Kluyveromyces lactis: one gene and its partners. The protein of the gene in region 5 binds, or shares a complex with, the protein of the main gene of each other region. Links are inferred from orthologs where the notes say so. Each region holds a gene or a part of one and is shown on either strand. Other genes may lie near its edges.

Region 1 (3,567 bases), on a different chromosome or scaffold from region 5:
GGAGATTGTGGGTCCTTGTACTTCAAGTAGGCAATCTTATCAGCGATCTTAGCTCTTCTTTCACGAGATGGTTGAACAGACCCTTCAATGTCTCTAACAGACTTCAAAGTCAATCTGTATTGATCGTAACGATCGATGAACTGGTCATCCAATTCAGACATTTCGTAAATCAAAACACCCAACTTATCGGTGATATCAGAAACGTCATCGTCATTTTCCAAACCCCACAACGACAATTGCTTAGCAGCATCTCTACGTTCGTTAGCAGCCAATTCAATAGAACGCAACACGTTTTTCTCAATCTTCACTAATTGAGACAACTTACGTGAAAGTTCAGGACCAAACGCACCAGCTGCGTTTCTTCTGAAACTGTAAGCTAAACCACCCTTACCGAAAAATCTGCTCTTGGTAGAAGATGGTGGTGGTGGTGGATTCTGTAAATCAGAGGCAGTTGGTGCCCTGGTAGTCCTCAAAGAATATGTTCTGTGCATGGTTGTAATATATGGTGTCTTTATCTTTTTTTTTAACTATTACTCGATCAAATGAACTCTATATAACTGAGCGTATGTTCAATATTAATAGCTTGCGTGTTATTATCACAATAGTAACCTTACTTTTAAATATAGAAGTGTTATATATATATACAAATAAATTACCAAATGCAATGGCAATTCTCCTAAAAGTGGCCGGAAGTTGCTTTGGAAAAACCTTGCTTCCATTAATTTTCCTTTTTACCCTTTTCCCTTTTTTTTATTTCTGTTTGTTTTCGTCGAAAATTTCATTTTCCATTTTGAGCAAAACCTCGCTGGTTCATAGACAGCAGCAGAGGAGAGACGAAGTGACGAAGAGGTACCGGTCGACAGCCTTGCTGTGATGCGAGACTGCCATCCCAGTAGCTGGCTAGTGCCAGTTATAGGTGTATTAGAAAACTGACTTCAAGAACTCACGCTGTTGCCTGGTGTACATTCATGCGTCCGCTCTCAGGGTTAATGCTTATCAGTATTGCAAGAAAAAAAAGAAACCGAAAGAAACTGTGGAATGGAGTGTTCTATACTGGGGAATATGTCGACCGCGTGTCCATAAATGAAACTCAGCGAATGATTTTGGCTGAGAGGTCTGATACCTATTGGATAAGCAATTTAAGGTATGTGAGCCTTGGTTCCCTTAATTTTTCAGGTGTGTTGCTTTTGCTGTCGGTTGATAGAATTATCCGGCTGTAACATTGTGTAGTATTATGTTACTTAGTATCTGTATCTGTATCGAATTACGTATGGTGAGCTGAATAGTGAATAGTGACAGCAGCAGTGGCTGAGAACGAACGCACTGATGAAAACTGAAAAAATTCAGTCACGTGACTAGGATGTCACCGTTGATAATGGCATTCAAGCGTCTTTCCCTTTCCTCATCCATCTTTCTTGTATTAATATGCTCGTCTTTCTTGATGCGCAGTTTGCTGTGTTCTGAAGGTACTTTGAATTTGGGATGCGACCAGTCGCAATCTTTACCCAGTGGACAAAACCCTACCAAGTATCTGGGGCAAAGTACCTTTTTGACATGTTTCTTCGTGCATGCAGGTCCCGATGGACAGAACCCCATATTATAATCCTCACATTCTTCTAACTGACTCTTGTGATCTACGTGCAAGTATTGACACTCCGGTGATTGTGTACAGTACCCGTTCTTGGTGAAGAATACACACTCGGGCATCTTTCTTAGGTTATACTCGTGTAAATATTCACATTGATCGTTCTTCTTGCAGAGACCTCGGAGCCAGTGCTTACAAACAATCTTGTTCTGAAATATCGGTAGCACATGCTTGTTTGGACAGCGTGCTCCGTTGGGACAGGATTTTATCCCCTCTCTTGAATTATAGTATTGGCATACCGGTCTATCTGGATCTAACGAGAACGAATATTCTTTCCGTAGAAATGGCTCGAAATTAAACTCGTACTTCGAGGTATCTGGATGAACTATACTCATTAGTTTAAACTCCCTTATCTCCTTGACAACCCAGTCTAATGTAGCCTACCAGTCGTTTATGAAAATGTCTTTGATGATTGGTAATTAATCATGTTACAAGCGAGTTACACACAATAATTATTTTACTAATTCTTAAATATAACGTTATAGGATATTCTGGGTTTTCACATGAGAAAAAGTCACGTGAACTGAATAAGGTAGCGTTCTCGGAACCAATCAGACGTTAAGTGCAGCTAGCACAAATGTCAAGATGAATGAGACTTTGAAGCTGGGTTTGTCCCAGATCAATGTGTTCAAATCAATCCTCTCACGGCCGATGGTCACAACGTATTTGGAAAGAGAACGAGTGCTGTCACTGCTGATAACTCCCCTGTTCTGCAAGAATTGTAACCCAACGAATCCAACCCCGGTGATGAACACGAGAAGACTTGATATCTTACCAAAGATAACACCGAACACTAGACCTAAAATTGACCCGTAGCACATTTGTCTGTAGTTGACTCTTCTTTGCTTCGAACTTATATCAACACGGCTTGGCAATCCAAGCTCTTGTGGTAGATTCGTTCTTTGCTTAACATCAACAATTGAATCGTTCATGATATATGAGCTTGGTTGCATCGAGTGCAACAACGATCCACCACCGACTAATAAACTACCGCTGAATCCAACATAAACACTTCTTCTTAATGGCACGCCAAGGTTTCTTGCTGCTGTTCTGAACATCTTTCCTAATTCTTTACCTATTATGTCGATTGGTCTGTCTTCACTCGAGGATATAAAACACAATTCTGAGTTGAACTAAATGAGACTGATTTCTAACCGAATTTCTTCGTTATCGAAAGATTAAATTATAAACAGTGATTTTGTCTACGAATTGTCGTTTTCTTAACTCAATAGCAATTTGCACGTACTTCTCAATATTTCTTTATATAGCCATACTGACGATGGAGCCTGCGACCCTTTTTTTTCAACCGATGTTGAAATTTAAGAATCATACAAAACCCAACATGCTGAAAAGAATAGGATTTGGGTGACAGTCATTATAAAAAAGAATATATAGAATTGTCAGTTAGAAAGTGATAAGCGGCAAGTTATCAGTCAAGTAGTACCTTTATTACTATTTTATATGTAAATTAAGGCCTCCTATTTGGGTTGGAAATCATTTGTCGTTTACTGATATATACGGAAACAATTCTATGTTCGGTGAAAAAGACGCGTAGATATAAGTATATACATAACTTTTACCGTGATGATGATGATAATGAAGACGATAATAATGATTTGGTGATGGTGAGTCCGTAAGGATGATAGTGGTCACTTTTTTTCAACTTTCTGCGATCTTCAACTTCGAAACGTAATCCTCTAATTGTTTCCAGTTCATTTCCCTCTCTTTTTGACGTCTGTTGTTTTCTTTCAAACTAGATATGTAAAGTGCGTTGCAATTTTCGTATAAGACATTGTTCGTTTCAAGGAAAATTTTCAATGCTTTGAAAGCCATTGCATGAATGGCACGATTCCATGAGCCGGAATTTATGGCTTGCTCGACCATTAAGTACGGATCTTCACCATTATCACCATCCTCTAAAC
Region 2 (4,004 bases), on a different chromosome or scaffold from region 5:
AGCTGGGTTGTTGTAACCTAGAGCAATGGAAGAAATTTGGGCGTAAACATCCAAGAATTTATTACCGTCAACGTCAACGATGTAGTTACCAGAAGACTTGGCATAATCAGCAACGAAATAAGCTGGTCTAGAATCGAAAACTTCTCCTAGAGAAGCGACCTTAGCCTTGGACTCAGGACCTGGAATCTCTGAGGTAACGACCTTTGGTTCAGTTGGTTCGTTTGGGTAGTACTTAGCAGCAACGGACATCTTTTCCTAATTCAAATGATTACTCTGTGCTTGTGGACTGGGTGTAAACTAAAAACACAATTACAAACAACATGTAAATTATAGAAACTGGTTCCTCTAGTTCAGAGAGAACAATCTACCCATGGATTTATATACGATTTTTTTTCCCATGATTCATGTGCACCTCATCTGTATAGTCCCGCGCTCCCTTTAAGAATCGCCTTGCTTTAATTTCATAAGCACTTTTTTTTCATTGATCTCTAAGCTCAATAAGCACAGTGTTTTACGCTGTAGTAATTATCCGCGCGCCATTCAAAAAATTAAGAGCAGCGAATAGGTATTTTAACGAATAGGTCGGTGAAACTGCGACGGAAACCTCTTCTGCCCTCTCTTCCTCCTTCCCTCCTTTCCTCCTTCCTTCCTTATCAGCTCAGATCGGCACTGATGATACCTGATATAACATACTGAAAACAGAAACGGATTACTGCAAGAGAGGACTTGACAAGTTTTTCTTTTTACACACGCACATAAACAAATATCTATCTAATCTCTCCAAAGGATCCTGACACAAAGTGCTCCGTGTTGCTGTGGAGGGCGGCAGCTACCGCCAAAACATTCGAATAGTAGCCCAATCGTTTCGGCATTTCTTTCCCTTTGCGCTTTCCTTAGACATTTCCCTCGACGTTCGTTTCCCTTCATTTCGCCGCATGCATTTGACATCTTCCTGTTTTGAAATGTCGGTTATTTCAGCTTTTTCCATTTTCAGTTTCCTGTATGAGCCAAGTCGTTAAAGAGGAAAACTTGCGCGCGGAACTTTTAGGTTGGGAAACACGGTGGTATACACTATAGATAGAAAGAAAGCCTTCGAGCCATTATGGATGACTAAGAGATAGGAATTGTGCTATGTATTTTTCTTGTTATTGCTATTATTATTATCTATAGAAGGTAGTCGTTTTTGAGTTGCTGTATTAGTTGTTGCTGGCCTGGTGGAAGAGCCATTATGTTCGTTATGGGCATCGAAAGCGCAGTTCTGATCATGTTCTGTTGATCTTGCGGCAGTAGCGAAAGTTTTGCCTCGTTGAACTGCTGTGGGGTGTTGGCAGCGTTGGTTGTAGCGGTGGTGGTAATATCACCACCAGTACCGTTACCACCGCTGTTAATGCCTTGAGCCGTCTGGGGTACAGACGGCTCAGGTAGTTGAACTGGCGGCAGAGTTGGTACTGTAGGCGCGGCTGCGGCAGGCGTGGGTCCAACAGAATGTTGGCCCTGCATTTGGCCTAGAACATTTGATATCACGTGATAGTTTATCAACCCCATTTCTAGCATTGCCTGAGTGACAGCTACCGTTAAGTCAATGTTAGTCTTCAAGAATTGTTCCAGTTGTGGCTTCTTGTTATGCTGGTTGGCTAAGATCTTCAAGTTTGATAGAATCTCGATCATTTGTAACGTAGGAATCTTCGATAGATTTTGAGATACCACATCCGGTGCAGTCATCGAGCCCGGTTGGTATGCTGGTAGATGCTTTGATGCCCGTGCTAAGATCTCTGGGATCTCTATCTGCTGTGCCGGTGCCTCGTTCGCCTTCGAGGCAAGGTTATCCGAGGCAGCATTCGTAGATGCAGTGTTATTCTCCGAGGATAGTGTGCTTCCTGCGTCACTTGTTATTGGTTGCACCACCGGCAACGGCTTTCTTGGTAAAGGTACCTCACTTACCATTTCAAACGGTAGTTCTAATTTGTAATCCCAGGGAAAATTGTCTCTTGTGAACTCTAACGGTTTCAGTTGGTCTATTTTCTCTAACTTTTCTTTCCAATCTTTGGGAATCACCATGGACATCCTACATGGGAAATGGTTTATCTTATTTATTGAATTTTGGGCCCTATTGGCGGAGGAAGAGTCCCTGAAATCTACATCTACCCATTCAAGACATCCTCTTTCACTTCCAGCTCCAGCTCCAGCTCCAGTTCCTTTTCCCCCTTCTCGTTCTCCTGCTTCTTCGACCTCATCCACGTATTTCTCTCTAACGTCAACTATATATCCAGAACCAGTTATCACAGATGTGAAGTTATCCTTGTTCCACTGAGCAGGTATGTCAGTAAAACGTATGGTAGATGAAAGATTGTGCGGGGTCAGTTCATGCCTGCTTTTCCTAGTACGAGGATCCTTCTGTGGGTCATGCATACTTTGACTGTGTTTAGTTAGAAACCAACTTAAGAGTATTTCACCGTTTCGATATATATATGTATTCTCTAAATTGCAAACTTGTTATCGCAAATATCTGACTGGTGTCTAGTAACTAGTATTATTTTGCCTCACAATGAATCGTTACGAACATACATAATTACATATTCATTCTTTCTAGTCGACAGCAGATTTCTTAATTCATTAGTATGGCCGTTAGTCTTTAACGATGCTTAGAATCTTTTTAAGTTAACATTCATATAAGAACAATATCCGGGTAATAATTGATTATATATCACGTGCCAACTGATGTTTCTTTTGTTTTGTATTTCTTAGATTTACATGAAATCGAAAATCAGGAAGCCTTCGAAGTTAAAACGTAAAGATATGATTGATGAATAAGAAACTGTTCTGTCCACATCCAATATCAGCCAGAGTATTGTTAATCAAGCCTCTACTATTTAAGAAAATTGTTCTAAGGATCTACTCTCGTGGTTTGTTATCTAGACAAGAAGACAGTCTGATAAAAAAAGCATTGCGCATCGGTTCTTATATAAGCATCGTGAACCTAGGAAATTTGTTTAGAGAATTTGTCTGTGAGAATTCTAGTTTAACTGGTGGATAGTACTATACTTTATTATCATTTCCAAGAAACGTTTCCATTTATCATATTTATGACAACGATTTGGTGTTCTCCGTTTTCAAGTTAGATATATCAAATTAAATCGAACTGAACTGAAAGGAACAGTAATATATCCGTCATCCCGAAAACATACCCCCTGTGATTTATTAGCTAGGTATTGATAAGAGGATTCATCAGAGAATAACAGAAGACATAGTCATTGATCTTGTTTGACTGTATCTCAATTTTGAATCAGTCTCTTTTTTTTTGATTTTGTTTTGCGTTATTTTCACGTAAAGGTGGAAAAGAGGTAGTTAATTATTCTTGTTGAGTTGCCAAAACTGTTGTGGTCCAAACAGAGATCAGAGTCTGATTCAGATATTTCCCTTCATCTGAGAAAAAGGAAACAGAGGGCTGCAAGAATAATGAGTAAGCTGAGCAGGAAGTATCATTTGCCCTATACAAGAGCCATCATTGGCGAAAATGGTTTATTGATTAAAGATCAATTTACGTCCGGTCCTTCAACAAGCTCATCGACGCTTTTGGCACGCAGAAGTAATGGAGGTGATTTCGGCGATGACGAGGATGACGAAGACGGCGATGCTTCTGGGAGCTTCCAATCTAGTGTTTTTGAAACAGCTTCGTTAATCAGTTGTGTTACTTGTCTCAGCGACACGGAATCTAAAGATGAGAATGAAGCTCTGCTGCTACCTTCAAATACGGTTATTCCTTACGCAAAGATTCTTGATGTCACGAATATGGAAGCAGAAGATGATGGTTCCCCATGGCCGGATCATACTGCATTGATTGAAGTCACTTTTGCAAAGCCAAGGAGGAACCATTTAGTCCCAAAAACAATAAAATTGAGCGTCGATACTTCAGTGTTTCCTAATATGGGAACTGATGTGGCAGAAGAGATCTTGAATAGAAGTTATAAAAACACTAAGAGAAACAAATCAATTCTAGTCATTAT
Region 3 (3,453 bases), on a different chromosome or scaffold from region 5:
CTCGAATCATCTTTGAATGATGAAAATATCGCCGCTTTGACCTATGATGCTGTTATATCTCAAACTTTGAAACATGGTACCACTTGCGCGTCATACTTTACCACAATCGACTCAAACTCTTCTAAAATAATGGCGGATCTATGCAAAAGTAAAGGCCAACGTGCTTTTATTGGTAAAGTTTGCATGAATCAACATTCGCCAAGCTACTACCAAGAGACTATTGAGGAGTGCAAAGATGCTTCATTAGATCTCATTGAATACATACTCAAGGACTTAAACTCACCATTGATAAAACCAATTATTACTCCAAGATTTGCGATAACGTGTTCATCTGCACTGATGGACTCTCTTTCTGAGGTAGCAGAAGAATTTGATTTACCAATACAAACGCACCTGAATGAAAATGACAGCGAGATTGCCTTTGTTAAAGAACTTTTCAAGGATTGTCATTCATATACCGACGTGTATCATAAACATGGGTTATTAAATGGGAAAACTGTTTTAGCTCATTGCATTCATTTGGAAGATTCTGAAATCGAATTATTAAAGAAATCCTCAGCAGGAATATCACATTGCCCAATTTCCAATTCTTCTCTAACTTCAGGCGAATGTAGAGTTAAAGAACTTTTAAACTATGGGTTGAAGGTGAGTTTAGGGTCTGATGTTTCCGGTGGTTTTACAGTCAGTATTTTGGAAAATGCTAGGCAAGCTTTACTAGTTTCCAGACATCGAGCAATGTCAGTAGAAGATCCTGAAAGAAAAGAGGAATGCAAACTATCTGTCGCCGAAGTATTGTATCTAGCTACCATGGGTGGTGCTAAAGTTTTAAATCTGTCTGATAAAATTGGTAGTTTCGACGTAGGGAAAGAGTTTGACGCACAATTGATAGATTTATCCACCAAAGGAAGCAACGTATCCATTTTTCCATGGCAAAAAGTTACCAACGACAAAATTCAACCGAACGGGAAGGATAGAATCAAACTGGAGAATATTGTGGCAAAATGGTTATTTAATGGTGATGATAGGAATGTTAAAAGTGTTTGGGTCCGTGGAAAATTGTGCCATCAAAATCTTTAACTAATCGTTAGCTTACAATTCCATCGAAATAAGTATGCAAAACAAGAATAGCATGATATATAACTCAAGATGAAATAGAACTAATAATATGCAGCAGAATAAGTTAGTGGTAGTTTTGGATATTTCTCTTGCCATTCAGTGAAGACATCCATTATAAAATCCTCAAATTGAGTTCCGTTTTTCTCACATTCAAAAACTTTATCTCTTAGCATATCTGCCAATCTTAATATTGCTCGCCCACCAATTTTAGCGTTTTCATTATCATCTTTGATATCGATATTGATAATATGTGCAATTAGATTAAGCTGACCACCTCTATTCATCAGGTCCTCGCACACAGAGTCGAAACACCTTTCTTCACAGGTAAAAACGAAATCAAAAACCTTTCTCCCATCGTGCCATTTCTCAGGAGCTTTTTTTAACTTCCTGTTACGATCTAACATTTCTAATACACCATTTTGCTTGTATCTATCTTCACTTTGAGAAATCAAGTCATTATATATATCATCATAAGGCGTACCAAATGAATACACATTTGGTTTATCTATCGAGAGACCTGGAAGTCTAACTGCACTTCCAGTACCGTAACTAGAAACATCATACCCTGCCTCTTCCAATACCCTATGGGACTCCATGGACCTGTTGTTGTTAGATGCACACACAGTACAGAACTTAAGCCCGCTATTTCTCATTGATTCGCTCATGCCTAATAGTTCCTCTTAGATTCGTAATAACTTTTAGTCAAATTATCTATTCTGGTAGCACTAAGCAGACAACACTGTATGAAAATGAGAGTTATAATAATTGAATATGAAATGCAAGTATGGGCTGTCTACCATTTCGGTTACCAATTATGAATATCTTGTAACTTTCATTGAAGCTCTTAACAAAGTCAATTTTATCAATGTGCAGCTAGATAATAATATTACCCGGAAATGCGACGCTTGTAATAATCTTAATAGAATTATAGATTGGTAATTAGTATAAGTTCAAGGTCACTTCCGTTACACCCGATTACCAAAGCCTGTCCTTATTTGTGGCTGAATTAGGTGCTTGACAGCCGAAGGATCCATATTATATAATGATACTAATATTTAATATAATATCTTAAACAAAGAATGAGGAAGATACAGCAGTCAGCAGGAGGATGAATCCTCGACAAGAACTTGTTCAACTTCAGGATCAGCTGGATCTTCGCAGACGATTATTCGCTGGCTTTTGCATTTAACATCTTCAAATTCTTCATCTTTTGGTTGCGGGGAGGACATTTGTTTGCCAGAAACTAATGTTCCAACATCAACGTATTCTCCAGTGTCCTGTATGTCTGACTCCAATGAGTGAATAGAATCAGAACCGACAGACATATTGGCACTTTGATATAAATCATTTTCTGGCCTGGTTGTCAAAAATTGAATAATTTGACTATCTCTGAAATAAGTATGAAACTGATCCCATTCATTCTTACCTGAAATTAACATACCGAGTAACATTGACGGATCTGTTTCTGATATATGCAATTTGTTGAATTTGTGTCCGTGACAACTTCGGTAAAATTCAAGATCATCCATCATTAAAGAAGATTGCTGAGTGTTGTGTGGATCAAGGTAGAAAAGATTTTCATTTTGATATCCAAAAAAGTATAATGATGACGAGGGTTTACCGCCTGCGATCCCGACAGAATATGGTGATGAGAGAATCTTGAATATGTCTTTCCAGTATAAGCTGTTGATTTTGTCAACACCCAACCTGACAGCAAACAGCAGAAGTAAATTAGCATCCCTATCCTTATGAAAAATTCTTGTGACCTCATCTTCGTATATATCTGCCGACTGAGTTGAAATTATACAATTCTTAATTCCACAAAGGGGAAACCCTTCAATCAATGTTTTTATGCTTCTGGCTGTTGCGCTTGGCCCAAACCACTGCCCAGGTTTCATTCCAGATATTTTCTCTTCTGCTTTGACAAAGTTGTGTAACGACAAAGGATATTTGACATCGTCTTGAAACCAACGGATCAGATTTAACTCATTATCATCTATTCTTGAAGCATTTATTCTGAACTCCCTGGCAAGCTTGACTCTTTGAATGGCATTCGCTAAAAGAGCCTGCCCAGTGCGTATCATACAACCCCAACCAATATCTGAATAAAAACTGTCAGGATCAGTTAAAGCATTTTCTAATGTGTTGATAGGATTATCTCTAAAAAAAAGGGTAAAATTGATAGGAGATGGTCCATTCTCATTTCTGCGGATAGGGGTAAACTGTGTGCGGTATGTGAAGAACACTCGTGAATGTACGTCAGACAAAAGTCCAGGATTTAATGAGACGATATTTATCAGGCTTTCCAAGGCCGAGTCATCTGTTTCCACATCCGTT
Region 4 (4,854 bases), on a different chromosome or scaffold from region 5:
TGACAGATATCGATACATAATCAAAAAACCACACACAACCTTGGGATCAAAAGCTATTAGTAACCACAGTGTGAATTTGAATATTCATAGTTTTACACAGTTTATGTCTTCTACAAGCTCATTGTAAAAACCAAACTACTAAGTAAAGTCTTTAATGTGCTAAAACTAATTATATCAAGTAGTAGCATGCCACAGCTTCCTCTCATCAAGAGAACCAAAAACAAGAAAGAACGAAACAAGGCTTATAACTGAGAAGTGCCATTCAAATAGAGCCCTTCTGTAGCCCAAAACCGAATTAGCTCGATGGCACAATAATTAATACAAAGAAACAAGGGTACAAAGAGGAAAAACGAAATAATTGCGTCAAAAGAAAGCAAAATCCAAGTGCTGGGCGAAATGAAAGAAAGTAGCCTTTCGAAAATGGCCCTTAAATGGCTTCTTGAACCTCTTTGACAGATAAAAACCCTTCACAAGACACTTGTTACCTAAGTTACCTTCAAATTTCAACTTCTTGTTTCTTTTCCTTCACTCCCATTACTCGATCTCTTTCTGTCACGTTGCTTCTTTCTTTTACTGAAAAGTGTGGCTTTCTTTCATCACTATGGGTGTATTTGTAAGTTAAACTTGAAATAGGAACTTGCCTGTTGAATCAACAGCGGCTGAACCAGATGATACTGTTCGGGTATCGGTAACGTCTTGTTTTCTCGGATTTTATCAGTGTCTAACTGGCTAACCTTCTATCTCTTGTGGTTTTCCTTTGACTCTTTTTGTCCGCATCTGTCAATTATGTATCAAGATAAGGCACATAGCTGACTAAAAATAAGTACCAGTTAAACATATTTGATGATAGAACAAAAATATTCAGATTAGAGATGGTAGGTTTATGCAAAACAATGGGGTATGTGGCGGACAGCTTCACTATTATAGTAATGATCTGTTCTTTTCTGTGATATGAGACGTTTTTTTTTTTTTACTTAGTTTATCTAGTGGGAAAGTTGAGTTTATGTGTCGCGTTCAATGTAGAGAAACTTTTGTTAATGACTGGGGCTAAGGCTTGAGGGGAGACTCACGTTGCCTTGGCCATGATGCATTATGCGAACCCTGAAGAGGTAGTATGAACGGATCGTAAGACTTTCTATGTTGTCGCAGTCATTGGGTCTTCGGTGATAGCATTGGTATTACTGTTTGCTGGGACATTTGATGATGGAGTGGAATTAGCGTCATTTACTGGGGAAGAAGAATTGGTGTTGCCACTGGTAGTAGTAGTAGACTTGCCATTGGACGGATCGGATTTAGGTCTTTTACTCTTTTCACCACTTTTCTCCGGTTTCCTCTTCTTGCTGGATTTCACAGGACGTGTTTCCCCCTCTTGGTAGACTTCATCCGGTAAGTCATGCACTTTCACATACTTGATGATTAAAGAATACGTTTCAGGGTCCTCATAGTCGGGTAATGAGCGACACAAATTGAAAAATTCTTGACATGGAATGTGTATATCAATTTTTTTACTCTCTTCTGTGTTGATGTCAAGTCCAATAAACATCGTGGCTATGTGAACTTGATTAGAGTTTTTGGAGGCTTCATCGTCTTTGTTTGCATCAGTTATTTTTGTAAACTTTTTCAATACACCTTCTGTCTTATGTGTACCGTAGTTGTTCATGATCTCTTTATATTCATCCTCATTATTGTATATATAGCTGGACTCGTATGGTTCAATAAATGGATGCGCCAGATTGATTCCTGGTAAAACTTCTAGTTTTTGGACCAACAATCTGAGCTTACTTTCAACGAATCCACTCCATTTCAAGTGTTGTTCGTCGGAACCCTTTGTTGAGACCATAACCGTTAGGTAGAATTTATACTTGAAGAAGAAATCGTGTTTCTTGAACAAATCTTCCCATGATAGTTCATTAGAGAAAATCTTTTGTGTGACCTCTACACCTCTTTGTAATTCAGATAAGATCACTTTCTTAGTTGACTCACTGATGTTGTGGGTAGCACACATTGAAGGGTACGCTGGTGTAATCACAGGCATCTTGTGGGATCTATCCTGTGCATATATTTTGGGGTTCCACACGCGGACCTGTAAAGGACCATCTTCGATTGGCTTCAATAGGACAGGTTGTGGCCATTTCCAACGTGATAAAATCTGAAAGAATTTTGATATTATTACCGCACTGCATGCATTAGGGTACAATTGGCAGATTCTTACCACAAACATCGCCCATGCGACACCACCGGGGAACCCAAAGACGTTTGCATATACTGCTCTTCTCTTTGCCCATATCTTAATAGCTCTTAATGCAATCTTGAAAGATGTTTTATTAGGCACTAATTCTAAAATTTCATCGGTGACTCTGGTACCGTTCAACGCTCTTAGATCCTTTTCATCAACGTTCCTTAACAAATTCTTATCACTTAAAGTTAAACTTATTGGAACCTGGGGTAAATCTAGTTTAGCAAAGATTAAATCGATGGAGATTCCATTGAATTTGATCTTGATAATTGGGACGAAAGCATCTGGAACTGACGCAATTTCTTCAAGTTCTGGTCTTTCCCTCAACAGAGCATCGAATACGGTAAAGAAATCTTCTCTGGATACATGTTTAGGTACCACAATCAACGTATCAATATCGGAACCTGGACCATGGACCCCTAATCTATAAGAACCAAAGGTAAATACTTTACCACCAGCATCACGAGCCATACCATCGGACATGTTTTTCTTCTTTGAAACCTGATATACAAACTCTTGTGTCAATTTTTGGAAGATTTCTAATACTGCCACTCTCTTCCCAGTTTCTTCCTCCGTTTCGAAAGAGCCTTCTTTCTTAAGCTGTTGAATTAATGAATCGTTTAATGCGTTTTCGGCAGCAGTGGGACCCTCCGTGGAAATCGGGCCCGTTACACCAAAGATCTTTTTCTGGGACATTGTATTGGGATAATATTTGTTTCTGTAATCTGGTATATTTCTATTCCTTGCTCTATCCAGATAATCACTTCCCCCGGTATTTAAAAGGCTGTCCGCGGATTGTCTTCTTGGAATGTAGTTCTGAAACTTCTTTGAGATTGGAGACGATGTTGGTGAGTTAGCCGGTGAATAATAAACGTAATGTAGCCCTGGCTGATTGAAATATTGTTGCTGATGCTGCTGTCTTTGATTATAATGGTGGTGATGTTGCAAATGATGCTGATATGTGTTTCGGCTTGTATTGAGATTTAAATGCCGGTTTCTTTGTCTGGAGGGAGATGATCCTACACTATCAGATTCTGAACTTTTTCCCCCTTCCTCTTCTTCTTCTATTAGCCCTACTGCACCTAGTACTACCTCAGAAGTGATATCACAACCGGAAACCTTGAGCCCTGCAAGATCCGAGCTTATTGAATTCAACTGGTCGCCAATCACCGTCCTTGAATTATCGTAAGTGTCCTTGAAAACCTGTGCGTCTTGTACTGAAGTCGACAACCTGAATGAGTTTTGACTTGCTACGTCTTCCTAGATCAGAAAGAACCGTCAAAAGTACTCCTCACAAGTTAATTCGTGATGAGGATAATCAAATAAGTGTCGGATGTGTATAATCTCCGAGAGTTAATACACCAAAGTTCCAATGCAAAGGCTTTTTTCAGTATTTGTGAGTCTGACACTAACTTCTTTTGTTGTTGTTGTTGTTGGTAACAGGTGACCAATATCAAAAGATGTGCTCGTCACTAATTTGAACTAAAAACGTAACTAGCACAAACTATCCAGTTATATTCAGATAGAGAGAGACTGTGTGTATATGTGTGTAGACAAAAAAATCAGCCAGTTAATATTGTATTGTCTGAGAATTCCGTTTCCCTTTATTTCTTTCCTTTACCAATTCTGTCTCAGGAGTGTCCAGCGAATGAAAGAATTAAGAAGTTCAATTTGAAGGTACTGGCAAGTTTGGACCAAAGGGATATGTAGTGTTGGTTTTAACTTTAGCTTCTCCTGTTCACACACTCAAACCAAATAAAAGGTATAGTAAGTTCAAAAGTTCACACTTTGTTATATTATTTCATTTTGTACTAAATTTTTAAAGCCAGAAAAATTCAAAATCGATTTCAAGACCCAGGAAAAATCAATAATTACGTGAAAGACCCCAATCATAAGAATGAGCGAGCTTGAATTTGCAAATTGTATGTTCAATTTCCTGTAAATCTTATCCAACAATAATTCAATTGGAAGTATATGCATATATATAAACGAAAATCCAGATATGGAAGAATCAAGATATTTGATGATTACAAAACCTTTGTATTTCGTGTGTAGATCTGTAACGGCATCCGAAAAAAACAAGAAAACTATCCCATTGACAGTGAAAGTCGGCCTTTATATGGGCCCTTGTAGTTCGTTTGGAAACTCTTCTCCCCGTTAATTTGAATAAGAGGCTACTGGCTAAATAGGCTCACTGACTGTGCTATCTATTGGATACGATCTGGATCCAGTTAGATTGGCAGATCTAACCATTTCCGGGTAATACTTGGTTTTTTCTAACTTTTGGTGGCGAAAAAGGGGAAAAACAAGAAAAACATCAAATCAAAATCAATTCTAGTCAACTCGAGAGAGATATTCCAAATATCTAGAGAGATTTATTTTTATATATACCTTTACTACATCCAAAGTTAATCGGTTAGGTCAGAGATATATTTTGAATTCTCAATTTGTAATTGTAATTGAGATCAAGCCCAATACTGTGAGTAAATAAACTGGCAACATGGATGAACGTTTGATTGCTACGATCAATAAGTTACAGGATGCTTTGGCTCCATTAGGCGGCGGTTCTCAGACTCCGATTGATTTACCACAAATTACCGTTGTTGGTTCTCAAAGTT
Region 5 (5,218 bases):
ACAAGCGAGCGCTCTTTTCGAAGGGGAAAAACTTTAAACAAAAAAAACTTCTCAGAGACTTCTCAGAGGAAAAAAGAATCTTTAAGCGGGAATTCCAGAAAAATTGCAACAGGTGAGAAATAGGAAAGGAAAAAAAAACAACAGATAGCAAAAGGGGAAAAAAATTAAACGACCCCGGAGAGGATTGAACTCTCGATCTTGCGATTAACAGTCGCACGCCTTAACCAGCTTGGCCACGGAGTCGTATTTGTGGAATATCGGGATTTTCTGAGTTTCATATTCGGGCTACCTGTTGTGGTATATGACTGTACATGTCACGTGGCTTAGATCTTGTCAGATCTTTATTAGAAGAATTCATCTTGATTAGCTATCTATCTCCTAGTAGAATTAGATGCACCTGGTGTCTGTAGATCTGATCCCTACTAATTAGTAGATTAGATCTGAGTACTGGTTTATATACTTTGCTATGTGTCAGTGACACAAAACTATCATTAACCGCCTATTATATTGGTATCACCCGGTCATGCATTATGACTAGTTCCAACGAAATCAGTGTTCTGCAACCGTTGAGCGAACCTGTAGTGCAAAGTTTTTCTATTTCTCAAGTACAGATCCGCGATAGTTTAATGGTTAGAATTCGCGCTTGTCGCGTGCGAGATCGGGGTTCAATTCCCCGTCGCGGAGTATATTTTTTGCCCTCTAACCCCCCCAGATAAAGAATGCCAGACCTAGAATAGATGTTTGAATCCCGACATACATACCCCATTGGTCAGCTCTACAACTGATCTATAAATGCTTTACTACAATGCTAAATTACTATAATTAATTAATATCTAAGTCGATGTCACGTTTATAGAAAGCTTCCGCGAACAATTTAAACGTTGGCTAGCATGTCTGACACTGCCGATTTGACCTTGTAAAATACGTCCGATGGTGAACCATCAACTATGGTTTCGGCATCATTAATCTTCCGAACCAAAACTTTGCCATCAATCACTAGTGTACCTTCACCTTGGAACTCAGCTTTATGATTTTCCGCAGTTAGTCTTCTTTTCAATTCCGGTAGTCTAACATCTCCGATTCTTAGAGAACTTCCAGAATGTAAAGCTAACGGGTTGCTTAACGGTTTCAATATAACCTTCTCCCGATGTGGGGCTTTTGGGTCAGTTTCTGTCAATAGTTTACCAACAACGTGTGCCACAGTGAAAGATTTACTGATTCTTTGCCAGTTTAGAAGTTGGTCGAGCGATGGATCGATAGAAATATCAATTGCCTTGACAGATGTATCCATCTCAACCGAATTATTGAACTCAGTCACCAATATGTCAATATTTCTCTTTGTTAGATTAACCACGACTTGGTTATCAACAGGAGCAGCTGATGGCAGCACAATGACTTTTCTTGGTTTGATTGCAGGCCAGATGATTGCTATCGACCGCGCATTAACTATGCTTGTCAAGTCGATATATACCAAAGAACAACGAATGTTAACTTTTGTTTCCACAATTGCTCGTTTATAAATGTCACTTTTCAATGGGTCCAAGTAAGAAATATCATCATTATTTTCTTGTTTCCTAGGATTATGATCTGTTTTTCTTTTCTTTGATTTATTAATCCGCGAATCAAGTACCTCATATGTATCATCGTCATCGTCTTCATCATAATCGTTATTACTATAAGATTGCTTTAAAGATTGTGCTTGGTCATATGATTCTTCCTGTGGTAAGAATCTCTTTAAGTTGACCACATCACCGTAATCGTCAGATTTAAGCTTTGCTGGATGGAATGGGAACATAAGGTGCTTTTCATTTGTGGAAACACTATCATTGGAAGTAATATCTACGGGAATCTCCACTTTAACGTTTCCCGATCCATTCTTGCCTCTTGCATCCATTGAATCCACACCTTCTTCGTCGCTACTCTCATCATCAACATCAAAAAGTATTGTTTTTGTTTGAGCTTTGTCATTGGTCTTAGCCGTATATTCTTCGATAATTTTCTCTCTTACCTCATTTCTAGTTTTAATCATTTCTCTCACCTTCTCCGCATCCTTCTTGTTTAAAATTGTTCTCTTCATGATTCGAAGTGACATCGAATCAGATATGCTAATGGGGTTGCCATCCAATGCACTTCTACTCCCATTCTTTATTGCTTGTTGCCATTTATCATTAAGTTTTCGTAAGGGATGTTGTGCTGGGGTATTTGGATGTCTCTCTGTCAATATGATCGTTACTTTATCTTTAGAGCAAAGTTTGTTTATCGTTTGTGACAAAATATCATCAACTTCGGAAACAAGACAGATCTTTTGCCCAGTGTAACCTCCCAATTCCTCAGGAGTAATAATCCTCAATCTAGATACAACATCGAATGGAGACCGATTGTCTCGAGATTCCCAGGTCTTGATTACTTGCGAGGACAACCATTCTAACATAGATTTAGCATATGTGAGAGAACGGCCCCTTGAATAAGATATTAGAAACACCGGAATATCATACTTCAATCCACCCCTCATATTTTCATATAAGAAATTGTTAACTAGGACTAGTACTTCCAATAGTTTCCCTCCTACTTCAACTGGTACCAGTAAAGAGTTATTCATTTGTATAGCTCTTTTCATGGTATCAGTGAAATGTTCTACTCTTTTCCTCTGAGGTTCAGCTGAGCCTATAATAGAAAGGTTGGTTATTACAGAAGTCGGATGCATCATGGAACTGGTTGGATTTCCAGTATTGTCTAATAGGTCCGCACTATTCAAGATAGTATCTCTTGTATGGTTCCAACGAGGCGCATACAATATTTTTTCTGATGAAGTGATTATCGTCCAAATGGTACCACCGGGAGCATACCCTGAGTTATGTGCTTCTAATGAGAGCCCATCGAATTTATTCTTTAAATCCACCGTTTGAGAGTATTTCACCGTTTCAATCAAGTCAAAGGAGCTTTCAATATCTTCTAGGTCCATGACGGCATTAGAAAACGGTCCTAATATCCCAACTGAAGTTAAAAGGTCAACACTGTTGACTCTGCCTAGATTTGATACAGGTAACGTCCCATAAACTTGAATTCTCGACCTAAAATGAGGCAAAAACTGTTTAAACATCATGGCATAGGACCCAAGGCATTCAATTGTGGGCTGGGAAATCAGAACAATGTCAACTTCAGATATGTACTGCGTCCAAAACTCTTCACATTCTTCATAACTGCCTTCACCGTTCCATCCTGGGTCCAATAATACTATTACATTGTTGAATCGTACAATGGTTCCCTCAAACCGCTTCTTCTCATCCCTACATGTTTCGATGGTGTATGTCATCTTGAGAGCACAGTTACTTCTATATTTGAAAAACAATGAGAATCCACTGGTTGGAATGGGAAAGGAAAAGGTGTCCTCAGTGCCGGCAATCTCTTCTTCTTCTTCCTTTATCCTTCATTCTTCAATTATTTGCATGTACTGTTTAAATGAACTTAATGTTGATGCCTTGAGTATCATTTTGACATGTTATGTCCGGGTAATGAGATATAATGTCAGTAAGAAGGATTAAGAGGCCAAACTGAGACAGGGAAGTTGTTATTGGACGAGATACTGCTGCAATCTGTAGGTTGGTACGGTCCAGTAGGTGGAATATCAAACATATTTCATTGCTTACAATTATAGGCAACAAAATCCACAATTTTATCGGTACTTTAAGTGTCAAAATGTATTCCGAACGTTCTTTGAGGTTGAGTCAGCATATTAAAGAATAAAGCGACAGATTACGGAACAGATTGCTCAACTGACCCAAACACTGGAAGAAGTCTAAAGGCATCTTGGATATACCAGCGTACTTGAAATCAGTTGAATTATAAGGACCTAGTTTACAACGTGCAAGATAAGCTGCATTAGTTGACACTTTTGACAGATTTGCTAATGATAAGAAGGAGGAGAAGAAGATTTAAGGGTACAAAAGTAATGAGTCTTCCGATCGAAATTATTGATCGTGTAGTAACTAGCGGACTAGACAGTCTAGAGAGTCTGTTAGCATGGAGTAAGGTTGGTTCACATTTTAGAACAATTATAAAGCGCAAGCTTGGTGTATTGAAGATTTGGGATTTGGATAGGGAATCATCAAAAACCTTAGCAGATCCTTGCAATTATGAGTTGTTATCTGATGAGAGAAACACCGCTTGCGTAAATACAGATACGTTCAAGTTTCCTGTGTTGAGCGAATTTCTACGGAAGTTTGACAACGTTCTCATTGTCATCGTATCCGATCGCTGCTACAGTGACCCATTGGCGACGGCATTATGTGAATTAAGTAGAGGGCTAAGTGGGATGGGTACTCTAAAGAATCTATGCTTCATGTATAAGACGACTACCAATTTCCTTTCCAAGTTCTATTTCAGAGAGCTAAGCCATTGTCAAAGCCAACTACGATTATGTGAATTACATATATTCGCCAACCGAGATATTAATCACCAGGAAGTTGACATGTTTGATATCGACACGATATTTGAGACTACTTATTTACATGACGTGGAAACGCTGTTCACTTTGAACATAAGAAGGGGTAAGAAAGTGATTGCACCTAGGATTATGACAGTGAATCAATTGCAATGTGAGGATAACACTACAATAGTCGATGATCTACAATACTGTCCCCTGCTTAAAACGATTGAAAAATTCCAAGTGCCACCAGGAAAGAGAGTTGTATTACCACCATGCGACCATTTAACTCTCGTCAGTTACAATAGTAACACTGAAAGGGATCTTGTTGATGGATCCTTCGTGAGAGAATCTTTGACAATCAGGGCATCCCCAATGTGTTCAGAAGCCAATTTCAAGAACATCAAATGCCGCAACATTCGATCCCTATGTGTCGAATTTAGTAACAGTGTCTGGGGTAACGTCAAGTTCATCGATTGTGCTTTTGGGAACCTAAGGTCTTACAGGTGTCCAGTGAATACAGAATGGGAAGATTTGGTTTATTCAAACTCAATTTACGTTGATACAATCATATTCAAAATCTCAAACATGCTGTCACTACAGAACCTCGCACAGATCCCATTCACGTTGGACAACCTCGTCTTGAATTCAGACGACAAGGAATTGAAACCACCAGAATGTAAGCCGGATCAAATGAGAAGCATATACGGTTGTAAACAGGTAATCCAAGAATTGAAAAGGTTGGAATTCGAACTTTCAAGCATCTGGGACTGCGCCGTATTTCAACATGTGATC
Region 6 (3,803 bases), about 530 kb from region 5:
AATTATTTTTTTTACAGTTAATACCGCCCTTGTTTCATGCTACGGTTCTATCTGGTAAATTCTTGCATTATAATTAACTAGTTAATTAGTTTTATTAGTTTATCCCAGTCTCAATATTGTTTTTACTCCTGTTTCCACCTTGTTTCTGGATCTAGATGTAACTGGGCATGATACGATATGACATGATTTAGGGTTAATTTGGGAATTATTTTAGGATAAATCTAGTTTTATCTAACTTTAGTATATGCAGTTTGAAGTGGAATGCTATCTACCAAGCTTATATATAGGTCTATCGTTTTTGAGGCTTTTGACATATTCTTGTCTGTCTTTCTTTTTCTATCGGTTGCCTCATTACCGTGCATAAAAAAAAACTGATAGTGAAATACTAACTGGTTACCATAGAAGCTTAATATACTTTACCCAATACAATGCACTGCGAGCTGGATATTTCTAGCTATTTGAAACTGGACGACCTGCAAGAATGTGGAGTTAACATGGAATGGCATGGTGAATTGGCACTTTCTGATCTCGAAGATGATGTAAGCCTTGATTTTCATGAGAAGCATGTTATCAGTCGACACGATTTACAGCCAAGGTCCATCCATATGCCGTCGATGATCCATACTCAGCCTGTCCATTTGATTCACGTTCACAATTTGAAATTTTTACAGACGAGTTTTGAAGAAGAAGATGAACAGAGAATTATTTGTTCTTCTTCTACACCACCTTCACTGGCTGACACAAGACACAGTTCTGTTTTCTCTTCTACAAGAAGTATCAACGTGTTACTGGAAGAAGACGAGCAAGATTTGGACAATGACTTGCAGTGCATGGCTCCAGTGAAGAAAAAACAGCAACGTGCATTGGTGGCACCCATCATGTTCTCCTCTTCATCTTCAAAGAAAGATTCGGTCGTTTCGGAAAAGGATCAGTTTGTTTACACGCTAACTAACAAGTTACTACCTTATTTTGGGTATTTCTTGGCTGATTCTAACGATTTGGATTATTTCGATAAGATTAGATTCCAAGAAATTGATTACAAGTTCTCCAAGACGTATTTTTGATGGAACAATCCTCATCCTTTTATCCAGATATTATTTTTCCCCCTTTGCTATAGACTGCCTGTATGATACACCTGCATATTTTTTTCCTTCTTCATCATATTTCTTACATTCATTCCTTTCTAATTCTCTACTTCATTTCAAATTACCTTCCATTTTTTTTTTTACTTTGTTTCTGTGGGTGCGGACACAAGGTGACCATGTTTAGTCAACCTTACAGGTCCCATAAACACTTCAAAAAAGAACATTCACTTCTCAATTGCAGTTTACAATCGACTTTTTTGAACATTCATTCTCAACAATGTCTGACTCTTTTCAACACATTAAAGACACTCACTCGCCTGTAATGTTTGTTTCCTCTGTTGTTTTCTGTCAATTTTTTTAATTAATTCACACTTTTACTCTGAAAAAACAGGACAAAGTATTATGCTTCGTCAATAAGATGCACTTTTTTCTTTGGTTTCCCTTGTTACTTTTCCATATCTTTAATTCTTACCATCGCATATTCTTTCAAGTTCGTTAACATCGGAAATCGATACTGTCCGCAACATGCACATCTAATTCTTCTGTAAATCATGTATTCTCATTAGCTACACATTTAACCCATATTATACATTCCGTCCAAACAAGCTGAGTCGCTGTCCGCTGTCCGGTGACAGATATTCATTAGAAATGTTTGTCATTGAATACGACAATAATTTACCCGGATATGCGTCGATTTAACAGCATCATTTTGGTAAATCTTAGCATTGAGAGTTAACTATTAGTTGATTTCTATATGAGAAGAAGAACTATCTTCCTGTTAAGATACCTTTTGGGTTGCGCAGCCTTCCAAACTTTCCAAGCATTTATTGATAAATCTTCTACCAGTCCACGAACGACATATAGAAACGAATCGTTATGAGCAGTGAGGATGAAGACGATAAGTTTCTATACAGCGATGAGGAGGATTCTAACGTAGTCGCAAAGCAAGAGGGTCCTGCATTGAAAAGACAAAAGGTCGAAGAAACACCCAAGATACTAGCTCATGATGTACCGGAAGGTAATACGAATGAGGTAGAGAGTGAGGCCTCCAATCAGGATAGTTCATCAGATGAGGATGACAGCAGTGACTCAGATTCAGATGTTGAGATTATCATCGGAACTGGTAACGATACCTCTAAGATAGATTCTGGTAAGTCCCAGATATCTGCTATAACAGACACAACGCCTCTTGGTACAGCGGATCATGCTATTGCAGCAGTGGCTGGTATATCGGACGTGGTTCCTGTACAGGAGGGTTCAATACCACCTGAACAGCAGCAGCAGCAACAACAAACTATTGATTTGAACCCGGATGCACAATTCGATGGGAAACCTATAGTACAGATCGATCCAGAAATTCTAAAGGAGAAGCCCTGGAGACAACCAGGAGCGAATATTTCAGATTATTTCAATTATGGATTTAATGAACAGACTTGGATGGAATATTTACATAGACAAGAACATTTGACGAAAGAATACAACCCACAAAAGATTTTGATGAACCTCCTAGCTTTACAGCAGCAAGGAAAGTTAAATGATCCAGGTTCAGGACAACCTGTACAGAATACAATCCAACCTCCTCCTCCGCCTATGGGACTTCCCCCCATGTTTGGTGGTTTCCCAGGATTTCCATTTCCGGGTATGATGAATAACATGCAAAATCAAAATGTATCAAGCATGAACAACATGAACAACATGAACAACATGAACAACATGAACAACATTAACAACAACAACAATAATAATCTCAACGACAAGAAATGAAATTTAGTGCTTGAGGCTCGTATTGATTGCAAGCAACATTAATGATATATAGCGGACATGTACATGTATTTTCGATTCCTTGATGGAATTGTAACACAGCTTAGTTTTAAAGACCTCATGTTGACATTTGTTATAATTAGAGAAATGACATTAATATACTATACTTCAAAAAAAATGGCAAAGACAAACTATATATCTGAATACTATAACAGTTTAAAAAGTAATGTTGTATTGTTCGTTTTCAAAAACTCTTTTGATCCATGGTTGATGGAATTTATTCAGTTCAACAACGCTGGTCAAAATTTCAACCCATTGTTGTTTTAAAAGATTAGAATCAGCGTTAAAATTTATAACTTCATCATTTGCAAAAAGGAGTTTGAAGCAATCGCTGAAAAGTACCATATCAGTAAAGTTTCTCATTTGTTTTCCAGTTGCCGTTTTACCATCAGAGTATATATCTACTACGTTTAGAAGATTCAACAAAGTTTGTGGTTTTCTGGTAACTTCGTCATGAGCTATAAGTTCAGTGCCTTTCAAAATCATATATCTTCTTTTCAACATTCCCTCTACATCACCGCCTTCTTGCCACAGGAATCCTTCATTATTGACCCTTTGCTGTTCAAGATACTTCTCGCAACACTTCTGAACTGCCTTCAGATTCTTTGGGAATCTTTCCATGGACGAAGTTCTTGGAAGATACATCACATCAACTGTAAGAGAGCAAACCTTAGATGGATTTTTCCGAGGAAGTTTCCATAATTCGTCTTCTTTATATGTTTGTGCGATTTTCTCATCAAATTCGCGCTCCCATTCATTGAGGAATTCAAAGTGTAGCTCATTTGTTTTGTATTTGATTTGTTTCAGCATATTTTTATTGACATTTACCTGGCAGCGTGCAAATGAACCATCCTTTGCGAATTTGAAGTCCCAATCGTCATATTTCAATTTCTTAGT
Region 7 (5,092 bases), on a different chromosome or scaffold from region 5:
TTGCTGAACTAGATAAAATCGTCTGTAACTAGCTTCATTTAAGGGAATCATTCTGAATATAGACCCATCTGTTTGGCAGCCCAGTGCGATATAATTAGATGTTTTAGAACCAAACTCCACATGTTTTCTAACAAGTTTCATGTAGTTGTTGGTTGTGAACATATTAAAGGAGTTGCAATGAACCAGTCTTTGGCCAGATAGGGAATTGGCTTCATCTGGAGCATATCTTAGAACATGAAGGTGGTTTTGTCGATCAGTGACTATAAAATTGATATTCCCGTTGTTCACCAAAAACTCAAGGTTCATGACTTGAAATTTGGAGGTACTTTTACCCAATACAATCATTCGATATGGCTCTGCATCAAAACCTACAAAAGTGAATCCCTGCATTGAATCTCCTATTATCATCAAGTTAGAAAAACTCTTTGCATCGGTAATAAACACAGGCATATCCAAAAACGCTACGGGAACAGCAGAATTATCTTCTTGCATATCACGAACAAGCGCTTTTGAGCTCTGGCCGATCATAAATCTCCCACTTATTTCACATACAGCATTCACAGATCCGCGAATTTCTTCTTCAAAGAGCTGTTTAAACTTGAAATTACTATCTGGTTTGCCTGGTTCGGCCACCACTTCTGTTATATCCAGAACCAGTAAACAGCCAGTGCTAGGCTGATCTTCTTCTTTTACAAAAGAACTTCCGATAATGACCAGCTCCCGCTTTCTTCTAGTCTTTGAGTTCAACTGAATGAGCATGGTTTTAATGTCGTTTACCATGGAATTCTCAGACAAGTCAAGCCGATCAATGATATTCCACGTGAGTGGATTGATCAAAAGAAGTCCAGATTTATACCCAGTACTATTTGGTTTGCTTGGATCGTAACCTACAAGGGGCTCACCATCTTCACTTAGAGCTTGATATTCGATGAATTTGGTATAGGAGATGATATACATTCCGGTCCGTTCATGGTACGCAATATTTCCTAAAGTTTCAAATTCCTCAACAACATCTTCAATAATGATTTTTCTAAGAATCTGAGTATTCCCATAATAACATTCAGGATCTAATTTCATTACTCTTGCATTTTTAATATTATCTACGCACATCACAGAGTTTTTACCCCACCTAGCCATTGTGACAATAGGTATATTAGTCATCCGGAATATCCGACATACCGAATTATCTTCTTTGATTATGATATATGGTACTTGACCAGTAATAAATACTACTGAATATCCATTGTAGTTAGGGAAGTAATGAGCAACCCTTTCTATTTTATTAACTCCTTGAGGGTATGCATTGTTAGGAGCACCGGTAATTAGAGGATGGGATTTACATTTTAAGAGTTTACCGCTGTGCTTTGTCGACTTCTTGTACTGATAGATCTCCCCACCAAACGTAAGAATAGTTAGAAATTCTTCTTTCTTATGATGGCCCAATCTGTTTAACATGATTTGCTTTATTGATGGGTCCGGGTTCATTTCTTCAGGAATCTGATACGTACTTATAAAAAGCATGTCTTCTAGCTGATCGACACCATTTAACTGAAATATCCTGTCATTGTGCTTTTCGGTAAAGAAAATAACCTGATTGTCGCCCGTTACAAATGTGAAGAGAAGCTGTTCTTGTGAAGAGTTTTCCAATCCATGTAGGAATTTGTTGCAAATGTTACTCTTGAAAATGGAACCAGATGTGATGATAATTTCATTGAGAGCCTCTGGAAGCTTAAATTTGATGAATTTTTTTTTATTTTTAGAGTCTAGTTGATAAATTTTGATGTTACCTCTAGCATCCGTGAATAGAATATATGGATCAATAATACACGCATGAACAATTTCGATATCAATAGTTAATCTTGCTAACCTCTTAAAGTCAACATCAAATAGATATAATCCTCCTGAAGTTACCTGTAAAATACGTTTATCGTCGTCCATAGTTTCCATGCCGATGGTTCTGCTGTCTTTTCTAAAATCTTGCGCCCTAAAAGGTTCAAAATTTCTATCAATCTGATATACATCACTTTTCTCTTTATCAGCGTCTGTAGTCACAAGATACTTGTCTTTTCCCTTTATTTTCAAATTCCAGATACGGGTCGCACTTGTGAATTTTAAGGCTTGTTCTATGTGGGGCTGGACAGTGGAATGCAATGCAGTGAGGTGAGATCCCCTCCCAACTCCAGATGTAGCTACAATTGAGAATTCATCTTTGTTAGGATTGGGAAGTCTCTGAATAGTTGGTTCAACAGATGCGACCTTACCAATAGTAAGAGATGTTAGAGGACCGATATTGAAAATGGAGTCCAACAATGATATATCGAAAGGCTCTTGTGTTTCGACGATTCTGGTGTGAGTATTATTTTGAGACTCTCCATAAAGTGCACTGTATTCATCGTCATCGTCATCAACAGTTTCAACAAGTTGTCGTTTTGCTGCAAATGCCACTTTCAAGTTTTTAAGTTGCAGAAACATTGCATCACCTGAGAGAAAACCTATAAGAACTCTGCCAGTTTCTAAGTTGAGATCACCACATACCGACAACGGCAATCTTGAATTTTTGAAGATCTCGTTAACAATCGGTACTTGTACACAGTCAAATTTGGTAAGTAGATTACCCTCTGATTCTGTAATAATGTTGTACATCCTGCAGTTTTCATCTATCAAAATAAGCAAATCATGTCTTTTCAAAGCTTTATAGAAATATATTGAACTCTTTGATAGAAAGATATTCATGTCAGAATTATCAGTTATCCTTGTATTGATTGAAGACGTTGCAAATGTGTTCAATCGTATGCACGATTGTAGTGCACCAGATGCACTGATATATAATAATTCATTGACACCAATCAACACATATCCCCTCTTCAGTGGAACCAAGGTGTGCAGGTCGTTCGGAAGATCTGCAAGCTCAGCAATCACGGTGGTTTTTTCATCTTCGACATCTAAACTCAAAACCATGTACCTCATAGTATTTCCAAGTACTTTTTCATTTCCACACCACGCAAGTACCGGTTGATATAATATTCCCACAGTTGGCTTGCTGAAATTATTTAACCATTTTATATCATAGACATGCTTGAGACTCTTGTGAAGGCTAGAAATTGGCATTATTATACTATCGGATGTGATTCCTTGGTTCCTTTTTAAGCGTTTAGCCATTGGCTCTTTTATTCCGTTCTCATCCTCATCAATTTCCATATCTTCTGTGTTCAGTTTCAATGGCAATATAGCTAAAACATCTTCATTAAAAACCAGAAGACATCTAAACAATGGATCCACTGCCATAATGGACTCCGTCTTCAAAGAAGAAGTGCTTAAATTGACAAATTTGTCGTGATAATAATGCAGACTTAGTGTTTCAAGACTCTCTGCCACTGGGTCAAACCTTACCAACGATACTTTGGATTTCGACGAAAGTATTGCAAGCATCTTAAGAGGCGATCCAATTTGGGGCAGTAATTGCATATCTATGATTTTACCTGCTAGTTTCCATTCATATGCAAGTACAAGCTTTTGTGCTCGCGAGACCCTGAATACAGAGAGAACATTGGTTCTTGCAACAACGTATTCTTCCCTTTCCGCTGACGTAAAATTCCCATGTAAGCATTTATTAACCACAGTGGGTTGCAATATCTCGTCAAAAACGTTCATTTATTATCTATCCCCGATATTTAAACGTTTCAGATTCAGGTGTGACTGAAGAGTGCTAGTATGCCCACCTACGCTCGTCTGTTTCCAGTGTTCTTAGTAATGATAGTTACCTATATTTTGAAGAACCGGTGAATATTTAAAAATTCACAGAAACTGAAAGTAAATGTTTCGATGACATCTGCAGACCATTTGAAAAGATGAATAACTGCATCTGCAAAACAGATATAAACATAGTGTACTGTCTGTGAGCAGCAGCTATTAGTCAATCTGGCCTGAAATTTCTGTAACCAAAGGTTTCTACGGACCGCGAGAAGAAGAACGTTTTCCAACAAGTTCAGATGGTAAAGCAGTTCGTCATAGTCATAAAATTGGGATCTTCATCACTAGTTGATGAAGAGACCAAAGAACCAAAACTTTCTATCATGTCATTGATTGTGGAGACTGTGGTAAAGTTACGCAGAAGAGGACACAAAGTTATCATTGTATCTAGTGGAGGTATCGCCGTCGGATTGAAAACGATGAATATGAAGGGAAGGCCAAAGAAACTATCCAAGGTGCAAGCAATCGCAGCTGTGGGCCAAGGCAGATTAATTGGGAGGTGGGATTCCTTGTTCTCTGAATTTGATCAGAGAATTGCTCAAATCCTAATTACTCGAAATGACATTGTTGATTGGACTCAGTATAAGAATGCACAGAATACTATTAGTGAATTACTTTCCATGGGAGTAGTGCCAATCGTTAATGAGAATGACACTTTATCTGTGAGCGAAATCAAATTTGGTGATAATGATACATTATCAGCTATCACAGCAGCGTTGACTGGTGCTGATTATCTATTTTTATTGACAGATGTTGACTGTTTATACACTGATAATCCAAGAGCAAATCCCGATGCAAAACCTATCTTGGTTGTTCCAGATATATCACAAGGATTGCCAGGTGTGAACACAGACGGTGGATCTGGATCAGATGTTGGAACTGGTGGTATGAAGACTAAGCTTATTGCGGCAGAATTAGCAACCAATGCTGGTGTCCATACCATCATTATGAAGAGCGACACTCCAGAAAACATTTCCAAAATTGTTCTCTACATGCAGGAAAGGGACGATGGCGTGAATGAACTTACACAAGATTTGGCTGACCTACAACTCACTGAGATGCAAAGTTTAGTTAATAATCATGTTCCTCTTCATACTAGGTTTATTGCCAATAGTAATCATCATCACTTGAAGAACAGACAATTCTGGATGCTTCATGGACTCGTCAGTCAAGGCGCTGTAATTATAGACATTGGTGCATACGAAGCGTTAACGAGGAAAAACAAAGCTGGTTTGTTACCTGCAGGCGTTATTGAAGTCCAAGGGAGCTTCCATGAACATGAATGTATAGATATAAAATTGGGAGTCAGGGATTCAGATGGAAATTTGGATAAATCCGTTGC

Evidence for each region.
Region 1: CFT2 (region 5) and YTH1 share a complex: the UniProt entries of both Saccharomyces cerevisiae proteins name them as parts of the cleavage and polyadenylation factor (CPF) complex. The link is inferred for Kluyveromyces lactis from reciprocal best matches to the Saccharomyces cerevisiae genes CFT2 and YTH1.
Region 2: CFT2 (region 5) and PTI1 share a complex: the UniProt entries of both Saccharomyces cerevisiae proteins name them as parts of the cleavage and polyadenylation factor (CPF) complex. The link is inferred for Kluyveromyces lactis from reciprocal best matches to the Saccharomyces cerevisiae genes CFT2 and PTI1.
Region 3: CFT2 (region 5) and SSU72 share a complex: the UniProt entries of both Saccharomyces cerevisiae proteins name them as parts of the cleavage and polyadenylation factor (CPF) complex. The link is inferred for Kluyveromyces lactis from reciprocal best matches to the Saccharomyces cerevisiae genes CFT2 and SSU72.
Region 4: CFT2 (region 5) and PAP1 share a complex: the UniProt entries of both Saccharomyces cerevisiae proteins name them as parts of the cleavage and polyadenylation factor (CPF) complex. The link is inferred for Kluyveromyces lactis from reciprocal best matches to the Saccharomyces cerevisiae genes CFT2 and PAP1.
Region 6: CFT2 (region 5) and FIP1 share a complex: the UniProt entries of both Saccharomyces cerevisiae proteins name them as parts of the cleavage and polyadenylation factor (CPF) complex. The link is inferred for Kluyveromyces lactis from reciprocal best matches to the Saccharomyces cerevisiae genes CFT2 and FIP1.
Region 7: the proteins of CFT2 (region 5) and CFT1 are in contact, whole or in part, in a cryo-EM structure (PDB 7ZGQ), measured with the Saccharomyces cerevisiae proteins. The link is inferred for Kluyveromyces lactis from reciprocal best matches to the Saccharomyces cerevisiae genes CFT2 and CFT1. Residues at the interface, in NP_013216.1 of Saccharomyces cerevisiae: Ile524, Ile525, Ile526, Gln527, Ser532, Lys533, Lys535, Met536, Phe537, Pro538, Phe539, Pro541, Ala542, Lys543, Ile544, Lys546; in NP_010587.1 of Saccharomyces cerevisiae: Lys84, Ile85, Thr99, Leu100, Ser101, Leu102, His103, Tyr104, Ala196, Val199, Ile1277, Asp1278, Arg1279, Glu1280, Leu1281, Gln1282, Gly1285, Leu1286, Asn1287, Arg1289, Met1290, Leu1293, Ala1294, Tyr1298, Gln1299.

Annotation. Positions count from the first base shown.
Region 1 is NC_006042.1:760,378-763,944, reverse strand, and holds YTH1 (cleavage polyadenylation factor RNA-binding subunit YTH1), read right to left. Parts: upstream 1,981-3,567; coding exon 1,348-1,980; downstream 1-1,347. Other genes in the region: lipid-binding protein PIL1, read right to left, coding at 1-491; FUN14 (Fun14p), read right to left, coding at 2,197-2,703; protein phosphatase 2A regulatory subunit RTS1, read right to left, coding at 3,305-3,567. UniProt on the Saccharomyces cerevisiae protein: RNA-binding component of the cleavage and polyadenylation factor (CPF) complex, which plays a key role in polyadenylation-dependent pre-mRNA 3'-end formation and cooperates with cleavage factors including the CFIA complex and NAB4/CFIB.
Region 2 is NC_006042.1:1,903,882-1,907,885, reverse strand, and holds PTI1 (cleavage polyadenylation factor subunit PTI1), read right to left. Parts: upstream 2,410-4,004; coding exon 1,165-2,409; downstream 1-1,164. Other genes in the region: UGA1 (4-aminobutyrate transaminase), read right to left, coding at 1-249; KLLA0_F20504g (sphinganine kinase LCB4), read left to right, coding at 3,457-4,004. UniProt on the Saccharomyces cerevisiae protein: Component of the cleavage and polyadenylation factor (CPF) complex, which plays a key role in polyadenylation-dependent pre-mRNA 3'-end formation and cooperates with cleavage factors including the CFIA complex and NAB4/CFIB.
Region 3 is NC_006040.1:1,644,117-1,647,569, forward strand, and holds SSU72 (RNA polymerase II subunit A C-terminal domain phosphatase), read right to left. Parts: upstream 1,782-3,453; coding exon 1,158-1,781; downstream 1-1,157. Other genes in the region: GUD1 (guanine deaminase), read left to right, coding at 1-1,077; cysteine protease ATG4, read right to left, coding at 2,214-3,453. UniProt on the Saccharomyces cerevisiae protein: Component of the cleavage and polyadenylation factor (CPF) complex, which plays a key role in polyadenylation-dependent pre-mRNA 3'-end formation and cooperates with cleavage factors including the CFIA complex and NAB4/CFIB.
Region 4 is NC_006038.1:1,161,007-1,165,860, forward strand, and holds PAP1 (polynucleotide adenylyltransferase PAP1), read right to left. Parts: upstream 2,933-4,854; coding exon 1,136-2,932; downstream 1-1,135. Other genes in the region: dynamin-like GTPase VPS1, read left to right, coding at 4,737-4,854. UniProt on the Saccharomyces cerevisiae protein: Polymerase component of the cleavage and polyadenylation factor (CPF) complex, which plays a key role in polyadenylation-dependent pre-mRNA 3'-end formation and cooperates with cleavage factors including the CFIA complex and NAB4/CFIB.
Region 5 is NC_006041.1:1,062,222-1,067,439, forward strand, and holds CFT2 (cleavage polyadenylation factor subunit CFT2), read right to left. Parts: upstream 3,314-5,218; coding exon 875-3,313; downstream 1-874. Other genes in the region: KLLA0_E12035g (uncharacterized protein), read left to right, coding at 3,950-5,218. UniProt on the Saccharomyces cerevisiae protein: RNA-binding component of the cleavage and polyadenylation factor (CPF) complex, which plays a key role in polyadenylation-dependent pre-mRNA 3'-end formation and cooperates with cleavage factors including the CFIA complex and NAB4/CFIB.
Region 6 is NC_006041.1:533,794-537,596, forward strand, and holds FIP1 (cleavage polyadenylation factor subunit FIP1), read left to right. Parts: upstream 1-1,961; coding exon 1,962-2,849; downstream 2,850-3,803. Other genes in the region: transcription factor IME1, read left to right, coding at 429-1,064; BUD4 (Bud4p), read right to left, coding at 3,063-3,803. UniProt on the Saccharomyces cerevisiae protein: Polymerase-regulating component of the cleavage and polyadenylation factor (CPF) complex, which plays a key role in polyadenylation-dependent pre-mRNA 3'-end formation and cooperates with cleavage factors including the CFIA complex and NAB4/CFIB.
Region 7 is NC_006039.1:879,655-884,746, forward strand, and holds the start of CFT1 (cleavage/polyadenylation factor CFT1), read right to left. Parts: upstream 3,652-5,092; coding exon 1-3,651. Other genes in the region: PRO1 (glutamate 5-kinase), read left to right, coding at 3,990-5,092. UniProt on the Saccharomyces cerevisiae protein: RNA-binding component of the cleavage and polyadenylation factor (CPF) complex, which plays a key role in polyadenylation-dependent pre-mRNA 3'-end formation and cooperates with cleavage factors including the CFIA complex and NAB4/CFIB.